3 linked regions of the Coturnix japonica genome follow. The protein of the gene in region 3 interacts with the protein of the main gene of each other region in a pairwise test. Links are inferred from orthologs where the notes say so. Each region holds a gene or a part of one and is shown on either strand. Other genes may lie near its edges.

Region 1 (8,118 bases), on a different chromosome or scaffold from region 3:
GAAAATTCCTTTTATTTCGTATTTGTATAAAAGCAGGCTTCTTGACTTAGCTGCTGACAAAGAAACAAACAAAAACCAACTAACCACCCACAATGCTTTGTGTCCACAAGTATATTATCTAATTAAAGCCAAACAGGTCAAAATGCAGGTGTAGAAATAAGGCCTACAAAATAGGTAAAGAAAGAACTGCTGACAATAAAGCATCTTAGAAATGCTTGCTTTATAAAGAGACAAGATGCATTTTTGGTTTATGGAACCACGGGACAGAATGACAAAGGGACAGTAAGGAAAATAAGATACAAAGAGCGGGACAGAGAGAACTGGGAGGAACTGTGGGGTGCAGGAGGAAATGAGATTAAAGAAGTAGGAAGGGTGAAAGCATGCTGGGCCTTAATGCTGAAGAAAAATCTGACTACGGCATGATGAAAAGAAGCCAGCAATGAGGTTTGGGAAAGGGTTCGCAGCGGTCAGCAGCTTGCAAAATCCATACACCTTCTACCTCTGAGATACTAACTCTAGCGTTTGTTTTAGGATGGGGTAGGGGACAAGACCAGTCAAAGACAGAAGGATAAAACAACCCAAATATTGGTAAAACACTACAGGCCACCACAGTAAATGGGTCCTGAAGTCTGTTGCAAGGCCTTCGGAAATACTGAGAACGTTTCAATATTCCATGTTTCTTTTCAAACGTAAACTGAACATTTTCCAATTCGTTAACTGTGAAAACACATGGCAGCATTCTTTGCCTCCTCTCAGTAACACAGGCTGCACTGTAATATGAAAAACTAAGGAGAGAGAAGTACACAGGAGATTTTAACATTCATCATATATCCTTTAGAAGAAAGCAGGACATATCAACAGCAGAATAGGTAGCAATACTAGGCTGTCCATTAACCTGGACACAAGTCTCATTTTCAAAGATGTCTTCCAGACCAGAAGTGCTAGAAAGATTTCCTTTTTAAATTAAAGTCTTAATTTCAACGCATCATAAAGCAACAGTTTCTGCAAATTGAGTACTACAAAACACAGAGTTCTATCTCAACACCACCAGTTACAGTTAAGACTGGGAAAAGCAAATGGGAAAATGAGTCCAAAAGCATTTCATCTTTTGGTTGCTAATGACAGAGATGCAATTCCTGTCTGACAACTGTGTAAAATGAGATAATCATCTCAGCCTTGCTCTTGAGGGACAACTGTCCATATCACAGTTGCCATTAATCATATTTCCCTTCTGACACTTGAAGGGCCAAAGATCCAAACTGTGACACAGACTGAATTTCCCACTACATAAAGGTCAGCTGACATTTAGGGGAGGATGCAAAGATACCAGCACCTCTAGATAAAGAAAAAAACTGCTCCAGAGACACAAGCAGCATTAAGATCTATTTTTTGGGGGAGGGGGGAAAGAAAAAAAAAAGTACTGCATTTGTCAAAATCCTATTGGATAGGGAAGTATTATTAAAACCCCTTAAACTGTTTATTCTGTTTCAGTTGAAGCTCTCTGACTTCTGATTTGACCCTACACACTTTCAAGACAAAATCCAAGGAACTTACAGAATACATACTAAAATATTAATGCAACTTTCTAACCCTTCAGTAATGTAATCCTTTCCCCACAACTCTCCAGACTTTCTTATTTCATTTTTATCTTAGGACCTGACATACACTCAGTTCTCAAAGACAGATAGAGCGCACACTGGGCAGAACTATACTGCTTCCACTATAAAGTCAACTTTTGGATATATGAATGATCAAATTTATATGTACAAATCCATACACACATCTAAAAGTCTCCGTACTAAAATACTGATATCTTCGTTGCTTCTGCTGAAGCACTTACACATGAGAATTTACTATGTATCTATTACTTATGTATCTAAGCGTTGGCTTTAGAAGTCTAATCTATGTGTTCATGTTTAATATTCTTAATGTAAACTCTCAATGACATAGCACTTTCAGACAAATGCTTCTGTACAGTACCTTGCACTTCTATTTCAATAAACCATATTAATCATTTTTCTTTTAGATACTTTTGTAAAAAAAATAAATGACGCAGAAAAGCTGCAGTACTCCACCTCAGAAAAAGCTACATTTAAGGCAGTGATAAACATCTGATGCATATACCAACACTGTCAAAATCTATGTTCTCTAAAAATCACCTCCTTCTTTGAATGTATCAGTATATCCTGACTTCAGTACTGTTGTCTTTTAGACTGTGAAATTTTCATTGCAGAGATTGTCTTAAGTTTGTGTATGTGAGTCAGCACTGAATGCCCTGTCAGCAATTAACAAATAAATAGCAAACAATTATAATAATGCATATGACTTTCAACCCTGGATGTCTGTCATGAATAATTAAAGCTCTGACAGAAAATAAAAAAATCTTTAACATCATAACCAAGAGAGAAAAAAAGCATTTTATATACAAGAAAAAAAAAATAATCATTGAGAGAGCAAATTTTCCTAAGTCTGGCACATATACATTCTGTAAAGTGCTCTGGCACCCATCAGAGCCAAAAGCACTTGAAAAACTTCAAGTCATTACTGTGATGATGAATGTAGAGCAAGGTAAATTAACCTCCAGAGTATGACAAGTCTGTTAATCCCCCCCCCCCCCTCAATGTACAAAGGCCAAAAATGCCCTAGTTATCTCTTTCCTTGCACTAGATAACACTGTACTCAAAACAGGTTGATTGCATAACTGCAGGACAACAGGTAGGAGAGCATCTAACAATATCCACAAAATATACATACGCTTCTTGATTCAGTCCTCCCTCAGAAAGGGGCATCTTCTCAAGCTAAGGATAACTGTCAAAATTTTTAGCATAGATTGGGAATCACTTTGGATGAACCTGGAGGCATTTTCAGTTTGATCTTACTGACAAATTACACCAAGTTCTTTCTTCATGGACTCCCTGTTAACCACGGTGATCCCAAATAGATTCTGAAAGGGTTCCTGTCCTGTCCTGGTCAAGTGCCCTTTGATCTTGGATTTCCTCACTGCAGAACACAAACATAAATATCTCAGGTGAGATACCCTTAGACTCAATTCTTCTCCCACAGGAATCTGCTGTGGTTTCATTTGAGATGAATATTCTCTTAAACTTGTTTTTTTTTTAGGAAATCACTTCAGTGTCAGAATATTAATTTGAGACTGAAATTAACTGTTTCATCTACAGAAAGCAACCTGCTTGGCTCACCACAGCATCAGCATTACCATTCACATTCCTAGCTCCCAAACACAGCATAAAACACACAGGAAGACTACAGAATGGCTTGGTTTGGCTTTCAGATCAGGTTCCACTAGCATTATTCCTAGGCCCCAAGCCCAACAGAACCCACTCTCAAGGGCAATCATACCAGAACTCATCCTGCAGTCTCTAGGTACAATAGGACAAGTATCCCAAAGTACTACCTCTGAGATCTGTATGTCCAGCTTCCAAGCATAGTAGTTTGCAGCCCATATTTACTTCATTCCCATAGTAATCCACATTGTAGTACACAGATGGAGAACTGATGCTCCAACCCCATGAGCACAACCTTGAACACCAGTACTACTACTCACCATTCCTGTCTACAGAATGTCTTGTGTTGTTTAAAAACATCACCCTTCTCAAAGACACCTAAATGGCTGGTGATGATTAAAGGCCTAGGATGAATACAGCATTGCCAACAAGTGTAAGGGAGAGGACAAAGGTTTCTTACAATTGATTAGGGTTAAGGTATCCAAGAAGACTAAACAATGAAAGAATCAGATCAATTCCATGTAGTGTAAAAGATTGCCAAATGAGAAAAACCCACACAAAAAGGCTTGAGAGAAGTTCAGAAAGGAGAGGAAAAAATAATAATAATAAAAAATAATAATAATAAAAAATAATAATAATAAAAAATAATAATAGCAGATACAGTGAGAAAAGAGACATTGGAAATAAGGATAACACTTAAAAGAGAAGGTCAGATACAAATAGGAGGCAATACAATGTAGTCACTCACTTTGTCTGGAAGATTTTTCAGAGGGAGGCAGATTATCTTCACTGTTGATTTCTGGGGGTGCTGTTCTTCACACTTCTTCTCTGAGAGCCATCCTCAGAGAGTCTTGTTGACAGCTATTCCAAGAGCTTCTTCAAGAAATATTTTGAGAGCAAGGGGATTGTGAACGAAACCAGAATCTTGAGTATTAAAACAATCTGCTCGGGATCTTCACTCCCCTGAAACTGCTGTTTTTATCCCTGGATGGAGATCCTCTCACTTTTGGCAGCTAACTACTGTCTCCCTGGGGAGAAAGCCTTGTCTTTTCCTCACTGGCTGCCAGGCTGGGGATATTGATCTTAAATAATCTCCCTACCTGGAAGTCTCTCTTCTTTTTCCTGTAGGCGCACCTTGTCCTTAAGGGTGGGCAGATCTTTTTCTCTGAAAGAATTTTTGTCAGTTCTGTAGACAATATCAGCAAAAACTGTGTAAAAACAGTGGCAGACAGCAAGGGGAAAAAGGAGTATCCAAATCTGGTTGTGCTTTCTCTCCCTTGTTTTACTTTCTCTGCCGTCTACTGACCAGATGTAAATAATTAAAATTATCTGGTAATTATCTGGAGCTCCTGCTTATTTCTATTTTGGAAACTGCCTCCCTTGAGCATTTGAAGATTCTTCTGTAGAGGCTCCCTGCTTACTATCTGATCTAGGGAAGAGGCTATTAAGGGCTGGCTCCTCTCTTGAGGAAAGAATCCCCTCACCCAGCAGCTCCGAAGTAAGGGGGAGTAGGTAGTCACGGTTATTCTTGCAAACCTCAAAAACTGGGGAAATGAGGATCCCTCTCACTTACATAGGTATCAAAGGATCTCCAGGAGGTTCTCTTCCACTTCGAGGTTAGAGTAGATTTGCTTCTCTATCGGGATTTGCAGCTGTGCCCTGTGCCCACCCTCAGCTAGTTAGCGGGGTTGGGAGCCACTGCTAGGTTCCCCTTAGCTAGTTAACGTGGAAGGGGCCGGCAGGTCCACCCTCGACAAGGGCCCACCGGGTGCTCCGGCTGCGAGCAGGGCTGCCCGACCAGGTGCTTCCCTCCCGGCTACGGATGGAGCAGGCGGGCAGTCTCTCCCCCACCCCAGCGGAATACGGGGGTGTTCCCCCACCCCGGCTGCCCGGAGGCCGTCCCTGGCTTCCCCCCAGGCCCCAGCTCCTCTTGCCCGGGCCCGGCTACCACGGGAGGCCACAGCGGCTCGCGAAACAGAGCAATTGCCTCCGCCGCCTTCTGCTGCGCCTCAGCTTCGTCCCCAGAGGGCTCCCCGGGCTCCGGGGGGCCCCAGCCGAATGGCGCTGAGTCTCTCCAGGCCCCACCGCTCCCGCAGCTGCTGCTCCGGGCTGCGGCTCCACTGCAGGCCCCGACTCCTCCCCGGCCTCCGCTCCGCCTCCCTCAGCTCCCCTCAGCCGCTGCCACCCCCGCCTCCCCGGGTTAAGGAGGCGCCGGGCTGGGGCTGCTGCGGCCGCTGTGTGCGCGCCCACACTCGGTGTCCGTGGAGAACTGTGTGCATAGTTTGGCCCGAGAAGCCTGGATGCACGCTCACAGGACAGGGACACGGGCACCCGCTGGCAACCCAAACTACTCCAACATCGCCGTTCCACCCCAGGGCCTTGCTTTGCCCCAGAGATACCTGTAGGTTTTTGGACCCTATAGGCCCTTGGGACACTGACACTACTTCTTGTTGCATCTCCCAGCCTGCTGGGACAGCTGTTGAGGCCCCTGCATAACTGTCACTCACCCAGACAGTGTTCATCTGCTCCAGCTTTAGGACACGACTCATCCCACCCACCTGACACTGCTTCTAAACAGTCACCAGCCACTCGCCTTCACAGCCCCCACACCTCTGGCAAATGACCTGCTGCCTGGGGTGGGCCACTCCCCAGCATCTTTTTGGCAGAAAAGCTCATTTTGGAGACACAGAGTAAGACAACTGCCCATTATTCTAGAAAATTAAAGGAGACTTTCCAGTGAAGTAAATCATATAATAGGGCAAATACTCCACAATACATGTGGGAGAAAGAACAGCCATTGTATGGGATCCCCCTTAATCAAAGGCCAGTGATGTAGGCAGACCACTACCACTCAGACATCTGAAACGTACAAACATGTAGCAGACTCAGGTTCCATGCCTTACGTGAAAGATTCACTGTATTTTATAATCTCTTCTTTCCATGGCTAGTTTCATATTTGCATTTCTCTGAACGCTGACTCTGCTATAAGGCATGGAGACATTAAGCATGAGTAGGGGAAACACTGCATTTTCTGAGTAGATTTTATCTTCCTTGAACTGCAATATGAGAACTGTTCAATGGTAGAGGGACTGCTGTGAGACATACTGCTTCCAGAAGTAATGCCTCCTATTTTATTATGTTGGCCCACGATGTCAGAGGTGGATGTTGGCAGAACGGCAGTAGTGGCTGAACTATCCTAACAATATTCCTTTAGATTCTGTTGCCATGCAACAGATGGAAGCACAAGGGAAGTTTGACAGAATGGCGTCTGACATGGAAGTGTGTATGAAGCAGAAGTATGTCATTGAATTCCTCCATGTGGAAATAAAAGCACTCATTGACATTCATTGATGTTGAAAGTTAATGGAGACCAAACAGTGAATGTGAGCACAGTGAGACAGTAGGTGGTGCATTTCAGCAGAGGCAACAGTGGGTCACCTCTACTGGCGCAGGTTTTGATGAGCATGGCATGCAAGTTCTCATTCATTGCTGCTGCAAATGCATGGTTAATGATGGTATGTTGGAAAATATTGTTTTGTAACTGCAAATTTGCTCTATCAAGCAGAGTTACTGAGCTCATTTTATCTTTCACAGTTTCCATGGCAATAAATATGAGAACAACCTACATACATGCAGTCCAAGAAAATTTTTCACTCAGTGCGGCCCAGATAAGCCAAAAGGTTGGGCATCCATTCCTTAGGACACCTCTTAGAGCTAGGTGTTATTCATTACACTCTGCTATTTCCATACCAAGCCCTACAGTCCTCCTCTATATAGGATCTATGTCCATATTGTACATTGGCTCCTCATTACTCAAGAGACAAGACAGAAGCACTGTTTTGCTGGGAAGCCCTGATGAGAGAAGAAAGGAAGACCCAGGGAACTACAAGCTGAGGCTCACTTCTGTGCCTGGGACAATCATGGAGCAGATCCTCCTAGAATCTATGTTAAGGCACATACGAGAGAAAGAGGCAATCTGAGACAGCCAGCATAGCTTCACCAAGGGCAGATTGTGTCTGACCAATCTGGTGGCCTTATATGATGGACTGATGGCATCCGTGGACAGGGGAAAGGTGACGGATGTCATCTATCTGGACTTCTGCAAATGCTTTGACATGGTCCCTTACTGCATCCTTCTCTCTCAATTGGAGATTTGAAGGATAGACTGTCCAGTGGATTAAGAAATGGTTAGCTGGCCACAGCCACAGGGTTATGATTAATGCTTCTGTGTCAGGGTGGAGGCCAGTCACAAGCAGTGTTCCTCAAGAGTTGGTCTTGGGATCAGTGCTCTTCAACATCTTCATCAGTGACATAGATGATGGCATCAAGTGCATCCTCAGCAAGTTTGCAGATGACACCAAGCTGAGCGGTGCAGTTGATACACTGGATAGAAGAGAAGCCATCCAGAGGGACATAGACAGGCTGGAGAAGTGAGCCCATGAAAACTTAATAAGATTCAAAAGCCAAGTTCAGGTGCTGCACTTGGGACAGGACAATTCCAGCTATTTACACAAACTGGGGGAAGATCTCCTTGAGAGCAGCCCTGTGGAGAAGGTCTTGGGGGTCCTGGTAAATGAGAAGCTGGACATGAGCCAGCCGTGTGTGCTTGCAGCCTGGACAGCCAACTATATCCCGGGCTGCATTAAAAGAGGAGAAGTCAGCAGGGAGAGGGAGGTGATTGTTTCCCTCTACTCAGCTCTTGTGAGGCCCCATCTACAGTACTGTGTCCAGGCCAGGGGCCCCCAACACAAGAAAGACACAGAGTTCTTGGAATCGGTTCAGAGGAGCACCATTAAGATGATCAGAGGGCTGAAGCACCTCTTCTGTGAATAAAGGTTGAGGGAACTGGGCTTGTTTAGCTTAGAGAAGGCTC
Region 2 (7,902 bases), on a different chromosome or scaffold from region 3:
TTTGCTATTTTATTTGCACAAAAAATTCCTAAGGAATGGTTACTTAAGCTTGAAGAATTATTATCCAGCTCAGTCACAAAACTCACTCCTCAAAGGAGAAAACTGTGATGTAATACCTGCAAAAGCAGAGACGTATTTTGTAATGGATTGAGACATGTCTCATTAAATTGTGTAACAATAATTCTGCAGTCTCTTTCAGGAAACAGGGAGAAATAACACTGTTACTAAATGTCTGGCTTTTTGTTACCTCATTTCACTTCCTGAATTGAAGATGATGAAAAAAAACCAAAACAAAACCCAAAACTGTTTGGTGCTCAAAATGTAGACAAATGTGCACATTTGCAAAATAAAAAGGGAAGCAGGCAGCTAGGAAACAGGCAGATCTGGGTTAAGTTCCTCATGACATGCATCATTTTTGCTTGCATAATTCTTACTCACACATACCCAGAGTCCTTTCTTCAAAAATATGTAATTACCATTTCAAGAGAAGCATTTCTGTTTATTTTGCTACAGTTACAGTGGTACAAACACCTTTTTTCTTTGCAGTTGGATGTGGGGGATGTGAGAGCCCTCCCTCGACCAGCCAAGACACAGAGATGCTGCCTCTCATCCACCCAAGCCAATCACCCACCAGGCTTCTTCAGTAGCTGCTGCATCCATCCTCTGAATTTTGCTTTGAAGCAAGATCTGCCTGCTCATTGGTGCACGTATCAGAGGAGTCATCTGAGATCACTCAGTTGCTATCGTGTTTTCTGATATTGGAGGGCATTTTTCTCTGCTGCCTCTTCCATCTTAGTGAGCCATTAAAAATCGATGCTTGATTCTAGAAAAGCAAAAATAAAACAAACACATTCACACACCCACAGAGAAACAAAAAAGCCACAAAACACCACAGCACATTGGAAAAGCTGTATTTTTACTTTCAGCAGCCAATGTTCAGTTTACAGAGCTGGAATGACATACATACCCCAATTTGTTGCAGTGATGGTGACATCCTGCTGCTAAAAGTAGAAACCTGGCCATGACTGTCCTCCCTGGCCATGCCCATCCTCTGGGATTATCAGTGGAGCTGTTTAATGAGTTCCAGGCAGGTATACTTGTGCAAACTGAGCCAAGGCCATGGCTGTACACAAATACTAACAAGCCCTAAATGGAAAACAAGGGAGCCTTTTGCAGTGGAGCCAAGAGGAGTTTATTGACAGGGTGATAATGTTTTGAGCAAGCAAGGATCCATGGAGGGGGGTTGGAGCTTGATGATCCTTCCAACCTAAGTCATTCTATAATTAATCTTCAGAGCTGATGGTGTGTTGTAGGGCTGGTAATGTGGGAAAGCAACCAAAGGCCAGGTAGTGAAAGAAAACATGGGTAGCAACCTTCCCAGCTCACCTTCCTCACTCAGAGCTGCATATGGTGCTTTAGTGTCCTCAGAGAATCACGAGGGGACTGAAAACATCTGTTCCCCATGGGTTTCATACAGGGCTAGGTGAGGACCAGAGGAGCTGCTATAAACATACAGGGCCAGACGTGATGGAGCAGGGCTGCCTTCTCATTTGGCTGATTTAGTTCAGATAAAACATAATGCAAACCTGCTTGAAAACCTTCCCAAGGTGAGGCTGTTTACTAGGGCCGTGAGGCTGTGTAGATGACCCACTAATGCTCTCCTCCATTGAGTAATGGCTGCTCTTGCATCTCCTCACAAACCACCCCAGGCCAATGTTACAGCTCAGCTACAAAGCTAGCAGGGTGTCAGGGACACAAACACACAGCCCTATCTCTGTGGGGCAAGTAGCAGGCAGGGAGTTTTCCACTTATCTGAGGGAGCAGTGACTCTCCTCAGCAAAGTTCTGCCCTCAACTCTGCTGGACGTCGTCTGGAGGGGCTGTTAAGAACGCACAGGGAGAGCGGACAGGACTTCGTGTGGAGGGCATAAAGAGCTGTCAGTAACAAAGGAGGCGTGGTGCTTCAAAGAGAACACGCCACGGAAATGTGAAGCAGAGAATAGAACCAGCGCCACCGCCATTTTACGGCTCCTCGTTCTCCGTGCCTCTCACCATCTCTCCCTTTTCGGGCGTCAGCCAATGGCGGCTCAGCGCTCACACGGTTACCACGCCACCAGCCAATCGGCGCGCAGAGCTCACTGGCTGTGTTGGCGGGCAGGAGCAGCAGCCCCCCCACATCCCCCTGCGCTCCGCGGCGGGCGGGAGGAGTGTCCTCAGCTGCTGTATCACGTGGCCTCCCATCTCGGCTGGGCGGTGTTTGCGCGGAGGAACACCATATAGTCCCTCTGTCTAGGAGCCCACGATGGAGGGAAAAGTTATTGCTGACAGCTTTTTTGGTTAATCTTTAGCAGGATGGAACGAGAGCGGCCCAGAAAGTTGAAGGTCTACAGGCTGAAGGGTGCTGACGAGAGGCGGGTGACGAAGAGCGGAAGGACACATCAGGCCGGATCTCGTTTTGATTAGCGTGAAGGTATATAAAAGCGGAGCGCGCGCGCTGCCACCTCATTGTGTGCCCTTGGCTGAGCTGACAGGTTGTAACTGTGACCGTGCGTAGCACCTCTCCGCGCGGCGCTGACCGGAGCACCAACCAACCCCCCCCCCAGCCGCCATGGCTCTCTAAGGGCGGCAGGGCCAGCGGCGGCATCGGCCAGTGCAGCGGGCGCAGCAGCAGCGGCGGCGGCCTCGGCACATCCCCGGCATCTGCAACCATGGCGTGAGTAGCGCGTGTGGGGAGTGCGCCTTGTGTGACAGCCACCCCCTGCTTCATAAAGCGGGGTTCTGGGGTGCGAAACGGACGCCCCATAGGAAAAGCTGTCTGGTTAATAGGGTGGGGGCTGGAAACCTACTTGAGGGTGACGGAAATGGCAGGAAATGACACTTTTAAGAGGAAAAATGAGCCATAATACCCTGTATTTTAGAGAAGCCCACATCCTGAAAGCTCAGGGCTGTTCTATTTTGTAAGGCTTTTGTGAGAATATTAGCTCCCTAGACGGTTGTCTTAGTAGTATAGGGGATTGTCTTTATAGAGGCGTTCCCACAGCGGATGGAGGAGTTAAACGGGGCTTCCAACGAGCGGGCATTAAGATAATCCCTTAATGCTACGGCGCTGCTGGCCGGGGGAGGAGGAGGGTTGTGGGGGGAGGGGGGGGGAATGGTGTCGAACCCAGCCTGATAGAAGGGTGTAAGGCTGTCGTGGTATTTATCATCCGAATCCACCTGGTCCATAAGTCAGCCTAGCACCAAAAGGTGCTCTGTCGTTCTATCGTCCTGTCACCTTCCCCTCCCCCCCACCCCTCCACGTTGATGGCGTTCCCATCGACACGGGGTGAAAACGTGTCACGGCACAAAATGGCGGCGGGGCCGGGTGGGGAGCGGTAGGCGGCAGATCGCGAAATGGCTGCGGCGTGGGCGTGACGTGAGTCAGGGCGCGGTGGGCGGGGCCTCGGCGGGGCGTGGGGCTGGCAATGCCGTGCTGGGCAATGGAGATGCGAATAGAAAAGCTTTTATGAAAGCAAACAAATAAAAAGCAAGAGTTTGAGGCAAACAGCCCTGAAAATGCTGCAGTCGTACAAGTCTGGTGCAACAGCACTCTCCCTGAGGCTGCGTTTTGTTGTGAAGGCTGTTTTTCCAGTAGAACAAGCACTGATGCATGCGAAAAATGTTTGTCTTACAGGTTTTTCAAGGCACCGCACAGCAGCACTGCTGTAGTCAACAAAAAGGCCCTCTCCTTGTCTACATCCTTTGACGTCAAAGCGCTAAAACCTGACCAAGATGAGCCTCTTGAACAACGAGATGCTGTTGGGGGAGTCCTCCCCCCTCAGCCAGCCGTGTTTGGTGGCTGAGGAAGGTCTGGGACTCCTCGATGACTACCTGGAGGTGGCCGAGCCCCTCGGTTCGCATGGGTTCTCCAGCGACAAGGCTAAGGCAGTCTCCTCCAATTGGCTCACTGTGGACAGTTTAGGCAACACCATAGATAGCAGCCAGGGTAAGGCACTAATTCATGTGCAGGAAGTAACACCAAAGGTGATGGCACATAATAAATAATGTAATCCTCCTGTTCAAAGATAAATTGCACGAGTTCTCTAAATGGAAAGGTAACATCACGTATGTGTCTTCTGGCCTGGGAAGCATCCATACAACACTGATTATACACAATAGCAAATGGCTCTGTAGTCGACCAGCCTGTGGAAAAATGACACTTGCATTGCCCTTTTAATAACATGCCAACTATTAAGAGTAGCCTTCCCTGGAAGAGGTCACAAGAAACAAGTGTGGTGGTGTGTTTCAAATAGGCCTGAATTCTTAGAGAGCTAAGACTAAGAGGGATGGAATGTCAGCAGCTGACAGATACATAGTATCATGCAGACTTCCCCAGTTCATAGTAGGGGGAAGGGGTCTGGTAGTCGATCTTTTTACCATTAAAAAGAATGGGGGAAGATATAACTATTTCTGGTATAACTGGTATAGAATCTCTGTGTTGGCTCATCGAAAAATATACTGTTTTTCTCCTTGTTTAGAGGATGCCTTCTCTGGCATGGAGTGGATGGTGGAGAAGATGGATCTGAAGGAATTTGATTTTGATGCCCTGTTAGGTATGGAACATCTGGAAGCCACCGTCTCACCAGACGACCTGATGGCCACGTTGGAAGACACGTGTGATCTCCTGTTTAACCCTACCACCCAGGAATTTCACAACAAAGAACCTCCACTCATACCTGATCTAATCACCAATCTCCCCGAATCTCCAATTGGAGTAGATCCCATGGCCCCATTAGGCTCCCTGTGGCCTTTTCCCCTCTCCCCAGGGTCTCTGACTTCTGTTCCAGACCATTCATTTAGTTTAGAACTAGGTAGTGAAGTGGATGTTCTGGAAGGTGAAAGGAAACAGGAGGCCCCCACCTTTCTGGTAGTGATCACGAAGTCAGAGAAAGAGGAGGAGAACCATTCTGATGATAGTGGAATATGCATGAGCCCAGACTCTTATTTGGGAACGCCCCAGCACAGTCCTACCAATTCACTTGGATCCCCTAATGACAACCAGTTCCCTGCAGATGCCACCCGTGGCTCTCTGCGTTCTAAACCATATGACCACCCTGCTGAGAAGGTAGTGTCAGCAAAGGTGAAAGGAGAAAAGAAAATAGATAAGAAATTGAAAAAGATGGAGCAAAATAAGACTGCTGCCACACGTTACCGGCAAAAGAAGAGGGCAGAACAGGAGGCTCTGTCAGGGGAGTGCAGAGATTTGGAACAGAAAAATCAGGCCCTGAAAGAGAAAGCAGATTCCCTGAGTAAGGAAATCCAGTACTTGAAAGATCTGATTGAAGAGGTGAGGAAGGCCAAAGTCAAAAGAGCTAGAGTCCCTGAGTAGGGTAGTCAGTAGTGTTTGTGTGCATGTATATATGCTTGCTGCTTAAGCTGTGTGGTGTCTAATAAATTATTTTATAGTAAACTTGCAATTTTGTGTGGTAACTGAGTATCTGTAAAATAAGGGTTTATACCATGTCGTTTGGGGCTTCAACCAGCTGGAATGTGCTGCTCCACCCAAGTGTGCAAATAGCATTTACTGTTAATGTGGTTCAAGTGATACAGTACATGTTACAGCTCATGTGTAGCTGAGAATACTTGCAGATATCTAGTAAAATGGAGGGGATCAAGTGGAGATAGTCCCAGATCTTGAATAGCAAAAGCAAAATCATAAAGGTTCAGCCTTACAAGGAGCCATGTAAGTATGTTTATAAATATGGTTTGGAGAAGTCTCTTGTGGGAGTTACTGGGTTTTGACAAGCTGATGGCTTCAAGCAGTTCCCCAGGGTGTTAATTCCTTCTCTCTTGCACTGACTTGTCCAATCATACTGCACAAGCATCCACATGGAGCTGGTGTGTCTGCAGCCTTTCAGGGGCAGCCAACAAGCTGATCTTATGCTGGTGCCCCTTGCAATGATGCTGTTTCCATACTTAGTAACTTAGTTAAGACTTTGCACTGGCTGGAGATTAGGGCTGGCTCTTCCTCTGCATGTTCACTTAGCATTTATAAGAGCATTGGATTAAGAGATGGGAGAAAGCATCTGAGCATTAGAGAGCCTCCTGGCTGATCTCACATTGGCAGGCTGCAGGAGCCTCTTCCTTTTCTCACAGGCTCAGAACAAATGTGGTCCAACAATCCCTATGGTTTACGTGCATGGTGACACCATTCCCAGAAATAGATTTTGGTGCACAAAATAGAGCCCCCAGAGGAAGCCAGTTTTCCTGTATATTTGGAAACAGTGGAATTTTCCCAGTCTGCGCCCTATAAAAACTCAGTATTAATAGCTACCTTCCTCTTTCTCATGCATTTAGAGAGACCCAGGTGCTCTTACTTCTCTTTGCAAACGAGAAGAGGAAAACGCTGCTGCTGAGGACTCCACCGCTTACCCCTGTGAATAACCAAAGGGGCAAAAATAACCTCCATTTGCAGTGCTGGAGTATGAAATGATGGCAAATGCTTCCAAAGAGCCCTGGCGGAAAGTCCAGAACAGCAGCAAGGACAGGATGTCCTTCAGGAGAGGTGTCTTCCTCAGCACTGTGCTGGTGGCAGGGAAATGTTGGCCATGTATTGTGGTGACAGAACCACCATGTTAATTTATATAGGGCAGAGGATCTCCAAAGCACAGGATGCCTGTTGTGAACTTGACTCCTCTGCATCACCACTGCAGTGCCTGGACAACTGGAAAAGAACATCCTCTTTCCCCTCCATTAATTACAAGTTAGTGGAGGAGATAAATAAGCTTTCTTGCATGCAAATGGTGCTGCTCAACTTGGCTAGGTTGCTGCTCAGCCCTGCCAACAGCTAATTCCTTAAGAACAAGGTGTATGTAACCCTGCAGGCAGAGCAACCGTCATGATTTCCATTTCCCCTGCCCCCAACAGTCAGTGGCTGGTGCTGTTAATCCTCTTTAATGTAACTACGGATAGTCATACAAACCTTTAATCCATCTCAAACCTACTAACCGTTCAGCCTGCTTCAGCTGGAGTTCCTGGTTTTGAGCCATAAATAAGCATTAGGCAGCTTGCCTCCTTTTACATTCCTCAATTGACTGTTCTTGTTTCGAGGTGAGAAACTTCCATGTGCTTCACCATTACATTTGTGAGCTATTTGGGGCACTGCTGCTGTGTGCCCCTTTCTGTGGTAACCAGCCCCTTACCTGAGGTGTTCGGAGCCTATCGGTGTTGTAGGCGTGGATCCAACACTGTATGAATCAGCAGCAAGATTGGAAGGGAAGTCAGTCCCAAAATACTTGCCAAGGGCTGAGATTCCAAAAGGTTTCTAGGACCCCTCTCAACCACGGTTTTCCCCTCTCCCTGTTATGGTCATTTCAGCACTTTAAGTTGTTTGCCAAGCTACCTTGGTTCATTTGCAGCCTGGCTTGTCCCTCTGTTATTTCAGAGGGAAGAAACTGTTGAGTATCCTGAGCAATCCTGTTTTATTAGTTTATACCTGCAGCCTTCCTGATACACCTCTATGCTGATACTGGCTGTCGCTGCTTTCCACGCTGAGGAAGAACACATTTGCTGACACAGCAGAAGCTTTGAGCCACTCATACCTGCTCAGACAAGTTTTCCTGTTTGCTTTCCATTTACAGAACAGAGGAAGGCCATTAAATGGCTTTGTGAATCTTACTCACAGGAAGCCAACCCAGCACTGAGCACCTGGGAACTATTCTTTCTCCTCTAAACCACTTCCCTGGAAAGGTTTGACCACATTATTAATACTCCAGAGCTTATATTTGTGTTTATATTAAAGCTGCTTGTGGGAGGGTGGAGATGTGCTGGAAGATGGCACCCGCTCTCTTCCTCAGCTTGACCACTTCTGTTTTTTTTTTCTGCAGGATGCTTGGTTGATGTCGCAGAGCTGGGAAGGGAGCCA
Region 3 (7,361 bases):
ATATATATTCCAACAACTTTACAAAATTCAGTAGGAAAGGACTAAAACTGCTTAAAGAGAAAAGAAGAAAAGAAAAAAAACCCAAAACAAAGTGGACCTTTTTGAACATTACTTTGCTGAGGCCATTTGTCATAGAACCAGAAGTAATCTAGAGAAAATTAGACTTATTAGAGGCTACTGTGCCCAAAAAGCCTGCAAGTTTTGTTACAGGTTCATTACAAATAGCCTCTGGACTAGTCAACTGTCTCCTGGCCTTTTTTCTTCCTGCACAACAAACCTCATCTATCAGAAACTGTGGCCTGGTGGCTCTGCATATTTCCCAATGTACCCCGATTTGAATGAAATTGCATTTGGAAAGGCAAATATATTTGCTAAAGAGCCACAACGAACTGCAGGATGTGTACATGTGGCAGGTAGCATCTCCACAAATATGAATAAAGAAGGCACATTACCTAAAAGTGAAAAGCTTTTGAGCACTAAAAATTAAATGCCTTTTCAAAACTGGATGAGAAGTGCCCTTTGGCCATTAATGTTTCAGCCACTTTGCCATGAAAACAAAACCCAGAGAAAGGAAAGAATCTCCTTGAAATGCCCTCTGCTGCCCCTAGAATTCTTACACAATTACATTCCAACAGAACAGTTTGCAGCTATGAGAAATCTATGTAGAAAACATTAGACTGGATTCCTACATGCCCATCAATCACCACACCGCCACCCAATTATATTACAGCATCTTTGAGGAGACCATTCCACTGACCTGGAAAGGGGGCAAAGGTCTGAAACAGAGGACAGGAATTGGTTTCAATATCCTGTGTCATAAACTGTTGTTTTTGGTTTTGTCTTTTGTTTTGTATTTCACTACAGTGTTAACAAAGAAGGCGGCAATGTTCTCTGCCACAGGATAATTGTTTTCTCTATCTAGACCAGGAAGATATAGGCTAAAAATGAAAACATGTACTTTATTTACAATAAATGCATCTATACTGTTCCAACCTCCATCCACCATGTGTTGCTGCTCACTGCTGAAGGCAGATGGTAGCTCTTAATAACCAAAGTACCTTTCTTTCCCAAACTTTATACAAGTCTTTTCCCCTTCCACCCTACCATTTTTCCACTGTTCCAGGCTCCAATGAGAGCTGTACTAACATCTTCCTAGTGCATCGTTTTAATGTTACAGTCTCCAAATACAAAGCGAGACTTGACCTGCTGTATTAAGCTGTCTTGGCCTCGCTTAAAAGTACACAGAAGTTTAAAACTCATGTTCCATTATCAATTTTGCATAGCAATACAACAAGATGAGATTTTTTTTTCTCCCACCTTTTAAATAACAATCCCCTCGTTGACCCTTTCAAAGAATTTGACACCTACCATCTTCCAAAGGGTTACCTCTCACACTTGGGGAACAGACCTAACTTTCTCCACACACAAACATTGAAGAATGAGAATTTCAAGTCATCATTAAGTTTCTTTCAAGTCTATGTTGCATTATTTAGATGCAAGTGAAGCAGAATAATGTTTTTCCTAACATTAAAGGACATCAAATTATTTGTTTTTTCCTAGTTTTAAGTTGTGAGAGTGTTTGTGACACATTCCCTCATATTCCTCCCCTAAGGTGCACAGTCAGGCTGAACAAAGTCCAGTCCACATGACGAAAGCTGGATCTCTGGGAGAAGACAGAGAGGTCGAGGGGTTTCATAGCACTACTGTATTTACATTCAAAATTCAAGAACAGCTTTTACTAACACAGAACTGCTTAAGAAATACACCATTTCTATTATCATTGTTTAGCATAAGGGAATTTTGTCCTTTGTAGCTGTCACCCTTTTGCAATGTAATAGCAGCTACTACACGCTTCCTGTTCACTCCCTAGCTGAGGTGCAACAGGCCCAGGCCCACTGACAGTACAACAGCCTGGCATGGTGTGGTTGACTGGTCTGGGGACCGGCAGCTCAGGAAGGCCACGTCAGCTACTGTGGGCAAGTGGCACAGAAAAAACTCTCAGCTCCATTAAGAGCTATTCCAAACTGCACAGTAAGTGCTTGTTGTGGACTGTAGCTTAAACACATTGGACATAACTCAGCAGTTACTCATTGAGTCTAAGTTTTTAGAAAATAATGGAGAAAAAACAAAGTGCTCTGCCAATTGAATAATCTGTTGTATATCTCATGGCTTGAACATAACAGAAGTAGTTACCAGGCATAATAGAATTGAAACAGAATCACTGTTTCATTCAAATTTCATACACATGCAAACAAAGCTAAACAAGTGTCTTAAGTAGGGATAAGCAGCACAGAAATCAACTTCATGTCAACAGTCATTACCATACATTTGTCAGACTGCCAGACATATTTCATTTCAGATTCACATCTGTGTCATACAAAATATGCTTGATGGAGAAGAGTCATTAAAAAGACATTCAGCTCTACCTAACTGATGGCCTTTAGAGCCAGTGCATTCTGCGCCATCAGCCTTCAAAGTTTACTGAACTTCTGGGAGGAAACAGATGCTTTAACAAACAGTGAAAATAGAAAACAAAACCAATCCAGCTCAGAACAGAAAGAGAATGCCTTTACAAAGGTGTGGACTGATGCATAGCCACTTCCCTCTCCAGAATGGGACAGAAAGGGAAGTGCAATGGCACAGCTCTAACAAAAGCAACCGAACTCCAAGAAATGTGATGAAAACAGAAGTCTGTTTGGTAACTCCTGCTACAGAAGAGCTGAGCCAATATTCCATACAGCAAAGCTGATGAGCAGTCCATGAACAAGCCCATGTGGGACATACCATAGAAGACCCTAAAAAAAATCCAGTTTAATATCACATTTCCAATATCTCTTCTTGCCCATCAGCAGTCTGCCACAGATTTTAAACTTGCAAAGCTCCTTTCCATTGAGCTAGATTTATATTTTTTCCCCAGTAAAGTGCAAATAAGACTCAAGTTTTTCTCACTAGTTCCAACAATTGTTACCTTGGTTACAAAAGTGATCAAAAGCCAGTTGGTCGAGCCACTACCACTAGGCTTTTTTTATTTTTCCCTTTTATTTATTTATTTTTAAATTAAAACCCTGGTTACTTGTTCCAGCAAAAGGCAAATAGAAAACAAAGGTTCCTTCTGCCAGATGCAGGCACGACAGGAGGCTGCCTTAAGTACCATCAATACAAGATGCACATGCTAGACAGAGACACAACCAGTGCGTTCTTGTGCATAACAAAAATGTGCCATGGTTCACTGGAAATAGAAGTCATCTTTGGGATCCTATTTCTTCACAAAGTTCAGAAATTGTTGATTAGTCTTCATTAAGAGCTGCTTCTCTCTTCCTTGCGTCTACATCAAAAAGACCAGAAAAATTAGAGAGTTAAGTGAGAAAGTTCCAGTAGCATTCATCCAAAAACACAAGCAGAATAAAGATGGTTTGTTTTCAATGGATAGCCCTTCCACTTGAGACTCTTGATAAGAATTCATCATGTAGGCTTAAATGCTACACGAATCCACAACATGTTAACAAGACAGTTCTACTAAGGTTTTGTATCGTTACCCTGTTGATGCTGAATATAAGTCACGCAGCATTTAAGTAGCCCAATTATCTTTCAGAGACTCCAGATTTGTGGTAATTTTTCCCCAAATCTTGGTCCCTTGCTCGTATTCCCATCTAAGAATGAAGTCTCCATTTGTTCTGCCTGCCAGCTACAGAAATGACATCTATTCTGAAAACCATTTGATTAATTATGGTTTTGATGGTCTCCATCTGAATAGCATACATTTGAAAAAGAATACTTTCAATACCACATTCTGAGGAACTGCCTGAAGCAGTCCCTAAAGACCAGAAATGAAACTGATCCAAACAGCAATGCTTTGAGCATATCAGGATCCTCAGTCCCCTACTTGTATGCTAGTACTTCAGTATCAGGTGCTGCAGACCAGAAAGCTGGAGTCAGGTCATCCTGGGGTTCCACAGAAATGTTTCTGGGATGATTTCAAGCCATCTGTGAAACCAGCTGAAAGCAGGCAGCTCATGGAAACCATCATTACCACAGCTACTCCAGCAAACTGTGCCAAAAGGTGTACTCCTATGTATTTACAAACTTTGTTTCCTTCTATCTTACATAGTCTACTCATTCCAAGGTTATTACGAACACACCCACACAGAAGTTACTCCTAAGGTAAAACTGACATCTCAGCTGTAGATTTAGAATAAAAATTTTAAAAATCACCTCTCCCATACTCCCCATTAGGGTTACTGAGGCCAGGCCTTCATTTTCTTCTTTCCCAACTGTCCTACTTCATATCTGATCACTAGTCCTAAAAAGGAAGGTCTTACTCTTCCAGCTACAATATTTTGTAAAACTCATACCGGTTAAGTTCCTGAACTTTTTTTTTGCTTCTGCTCTTTCTTCAGCATCAAAATACCACACAGTCATGGCATATCTATAAAAGAAAGAAATCTTGTGTTTGGTTCAAGTTTTGCTAATAAGTTTAGTTCTTATGCAGAAATCAAACAACAAAACAATTCATAAATTTAAAAAGGATACTAGTGGCACATATTTGAAGACAAACACAGATAGCCCTTCATATGTGTATTCAGACAAGTAGGACAGGAATATAGGTGAGAATTTCTGCTTGAAAGCATAAAAGAGTGCACAGCCCTTGGTAACAGAGAGCAAAATAGCTTACAGACCTCTGCATGCTTTTCTGTTCTGGGATGCCTTTAGGCAGCTTGGAGCCGCCCTATGTCACATCAGCTTTTCATAGCCTGGTGACAGACGGTAGCCCCAAGAATCCCTGTAGTGTTATGAGGGCAAAAGAGTGACCTAACATTTCCCATCTAAACAGCTATGCCCAGCTTGGAAGACTTCTGTCACTAGTGAAGGACTTTTTTTCATCACAACAAGTATCTTATCTTTCAAGCTTGCTATTCTTCATTTGATGAGAGAAATTCCAGTAACTGAAAAATATGAAATCTATTCAAAATCTGGCTACTTTTTACACACATATGTCTTAAATACACAGTAGCCCTAATTTTAGATACAAATGATGTGATATTGATAGGAGACATACTTTGTTTTTTCCTGGCAAAACTTCAGCATCAAATGTACTACCTACCTGGTTGCATAAGAAGGCTGGACTTCATGAGGGTTCCTTCGATCTGACCAGAAAAAAAGCAACCTGTCAAAAATTGGCTCAACATCTGCTACATAGGACTTCCCTTCTGGGAATATTCGAAGAATTCCACCATGGAGCTGAAAGAAAAGGAAGGGTTATTTGTTACACATATAAACAGCCACATATTGATGTGAGTAACAACATATTTTCACTTCCTCATCATCCAAACTGAGTAAACATTTAATGATAACCAAAGCAGCTATATGACAACACTGGAACTGTACACTGCATCTCCTGGCCACCTCAACTTTCAAACAGTTTGCAATGTTTCAGCATAAACATCAAGGGGTAAAGTAAACAATCCAAGAAAGAAAACAGTGGCATCTTGTGGTTTATAAACCCTCATTTTGTTTCCATATTAAAAGTATGGTAAATTCCAGGCTGACTTAATTGTTTTTAGTAATACAAACAGAAGCAAGAGTACCTCCCTGTCAGGAGACCCAGTGGTGATTAAGGATGCAGAGAACAAGCTAAGTCATGTGCTCATTCATAGATCATCCTGAGCTGGAAGGGATCCACTAGGATCACCAGACCTATCTCCACACAGGACCACCCAATATCTGAGAGCATTGTCCACATACCTCTTCAACCCCAGAAGGCTTGGAGCCAGGCTCTCTGGGGAGCCCATTCCAGAGCCTGATCACTCTCCATTGTAAGGAAGAAAACCACAAAAGCAACTGCATTAAGAACTTCTGTAAGTCTAAATGCTAGATTTGGGCTGTCATTTTATTCAGCTTACAGAATCCACTTACTCCTCAGGGGATTATGATTCTTTCTAGAGCTTCATTGCTCTTTTTCTCTAAACAAAACTAAGTGCCACAGCCCAGAGCTTACAAGTGCTATTCTATAATAACAAAACAACATGTGTGTGGGATGGGAGACAGAATGATAAGGAAACGGTTCAGATTTTTACTTCCAAGAGGTTGCTATAAACACCAATAAATGTATGTAAAGCAATGAAAAAATGGACAAGCTGTTCAAAAGTTCATCACAGTTTGCAGAATCAGCTGACTTCTCCAAAGCTCTGAAGTTTCTGAAGTAGTTGTAATTCATGCTCTGCCTTAGCCTTCTGGCTCACTCACCTTGGAGTCCCAGTTTTTATTCAGGTAATAAATACAGGTAATGCAGCGCCCATCACCATTTGGGTTGTCCACGTGACGCACATACCCAGTTCCATTTCCAGGATAACAAGCAACCATAGCCTGAAAAAAGATAAAGATTGTGGAAAATTATTTCTCAAAGATGCTCACATTTATTTGTTCTTCTCTGAGCTTCCTCCCACCACCAGTTTAGCTCCAAAAGCTGCACCAGGAGGATTTTTCACACACGCTTTTTTCACTGGGTAGATCAGTTAGCATGAAATTCCAAACAGGAAACAGATAACCTTCATATTTCACAGTATGCTCACCAAGACAAAAAAAAAAAAAAAAGCAAACAACAACAACAACAAAAAAAAGGTATTTATTATGCAATATTTTTGTTCTCTACAAGCTACGTGACTCTGAAGCCGTTCGAGATGAAGTTTGCTCGAGTTTCTAAAGCTGAGCAGTCATTGCAAAACTGAATTGCCAGTCATAATGAAAGTAGAAAGCGGTCCCAGGACATCATGCCTTACTACCTCTGTCTACTTTTCATATCTTCTAACCTCTGTCATATGCATCCCCCTGATCCAACACAAAGTGAGGTTCCCTAGGAAGGGTGGGTAGAAGTCCACAGAGCAAAATGTGCAACTTTTTTGTGCTGTGTTTGCACAGGGCAGCACATGTTTGTTTTCACGGACTGAGCCACAAAGCTACCAAACAGTTTTCAGAAGCTTTGATCATCTGTAGAGCTGCTGAAACAATCATTTAATTCATTGTGGAAATTTCACCTTGAATGATGAGATAAACTCAGTATGACTTATTCCAAACCACACAAGTGAATTCAAGACAAAGGGTCTTAAAAGGGTTTTTACAGCAAAAACATTAAACTTCAGAAACCACCATTAGCATCTAAAGAAGGGAAAAGCAGGAGAGACTGCTGGTTGGATACAAGATCTTTGTCCCACAGTCACTCCTTCACTGCTGGAACTACTTGGTAATGATACCACTTACCTTCTATTGAGTTTGCTCTAAAAACGTGGCAATAGAAGTCCTGTTCCCACCTCTCAAACATCTCCTTTCATTTCTTGCCAGTATTAGCACCAAGAGTGATGGCAGAT

Evidence for each region. The genes of interacting proteins can lie anywhere in the genome.
Region 1: the proteins of EGLN3 (region 3) and FOXJ2 interact in binary tests that used the Homo sapiens proteins (3 or more experiments, as listed by UniProt). The two-hybrid records come from large-scale screens. The link is inferred for Coturnix japonica from reciprocal best matches to the Homo sapiens genes EGLN3 and FOXJ2.
Region 2: the proteins of EGLN3 (region 3) and ATF4 interact in a two-hybrid assay, tested with the Homo sapiens proteins (2 studies listed by BioGRID). The link is inferred for Coturnix japonica from reciprocal best matches to the Homo sapiens genes EGLN3 and ATF4.

The regions. Positions count from the first base shown.
Region 1 is NC_029516.1:68,471,577-68,479,694, forward strand, and holds the start of FOXJ2 (forkhead box protein J2), read right to left. Parts: upstream 5,395-8,118; 5' UTR 4,819-5,394; intron 4,122-4,818; 5' UTR 3,994-4,121; intron 1-3,993.
Region 2 is NC_029516.1:46,168,726-46,176,627, reverse strand, and holds ATF4 (cyclic AMP-dependent transcription factor ATF-4), read left to right. Parts: upstream 1-2,508; 5' UTR 2,509-2,712; intron 2,713-3,672; 5' UTR 3,673-3,770; coding exon 3,771-3,984; intron 3,985-4,516; coding exon 4,517-5,367; 3' UTR 5,368-5,455; downstream 5,456-7,902. UniProt on the Homo sapiens protein: Transcription factor that binds the cAMP response element (CRE) (consensus: 5'-GTGACGT[AC][AG]-3') and displays two biological functions, as regulator of metabolic and redox processes under normal cellular conditions, and as master transcription factor during integrated stress response (ISR).
Region 3 is NC_029520.1:32,323,037-32,330,397, forward strand, and holds part of EGLN3 (egl nine homolog 3), read right to left. Parts: intron 6,364-7,361; coding exon 6,244-6,363; intron 5,239-6,243; coding exon 5,102-5,238; intron 4,427-5,101; coding exon 4,353-4,426; intron 3,326-4,352; coding exon 3,288-3,325; 3' UTR 1-3,287. UniProt on the Homo sapiens protein: Prolyl hydroxylase that mediates hydroxylation of proline residues in target proteins, such as PKM, TELO2, ATF4 and HIF1A. Target proteins are preferentially recognized via a LXXLAP motif.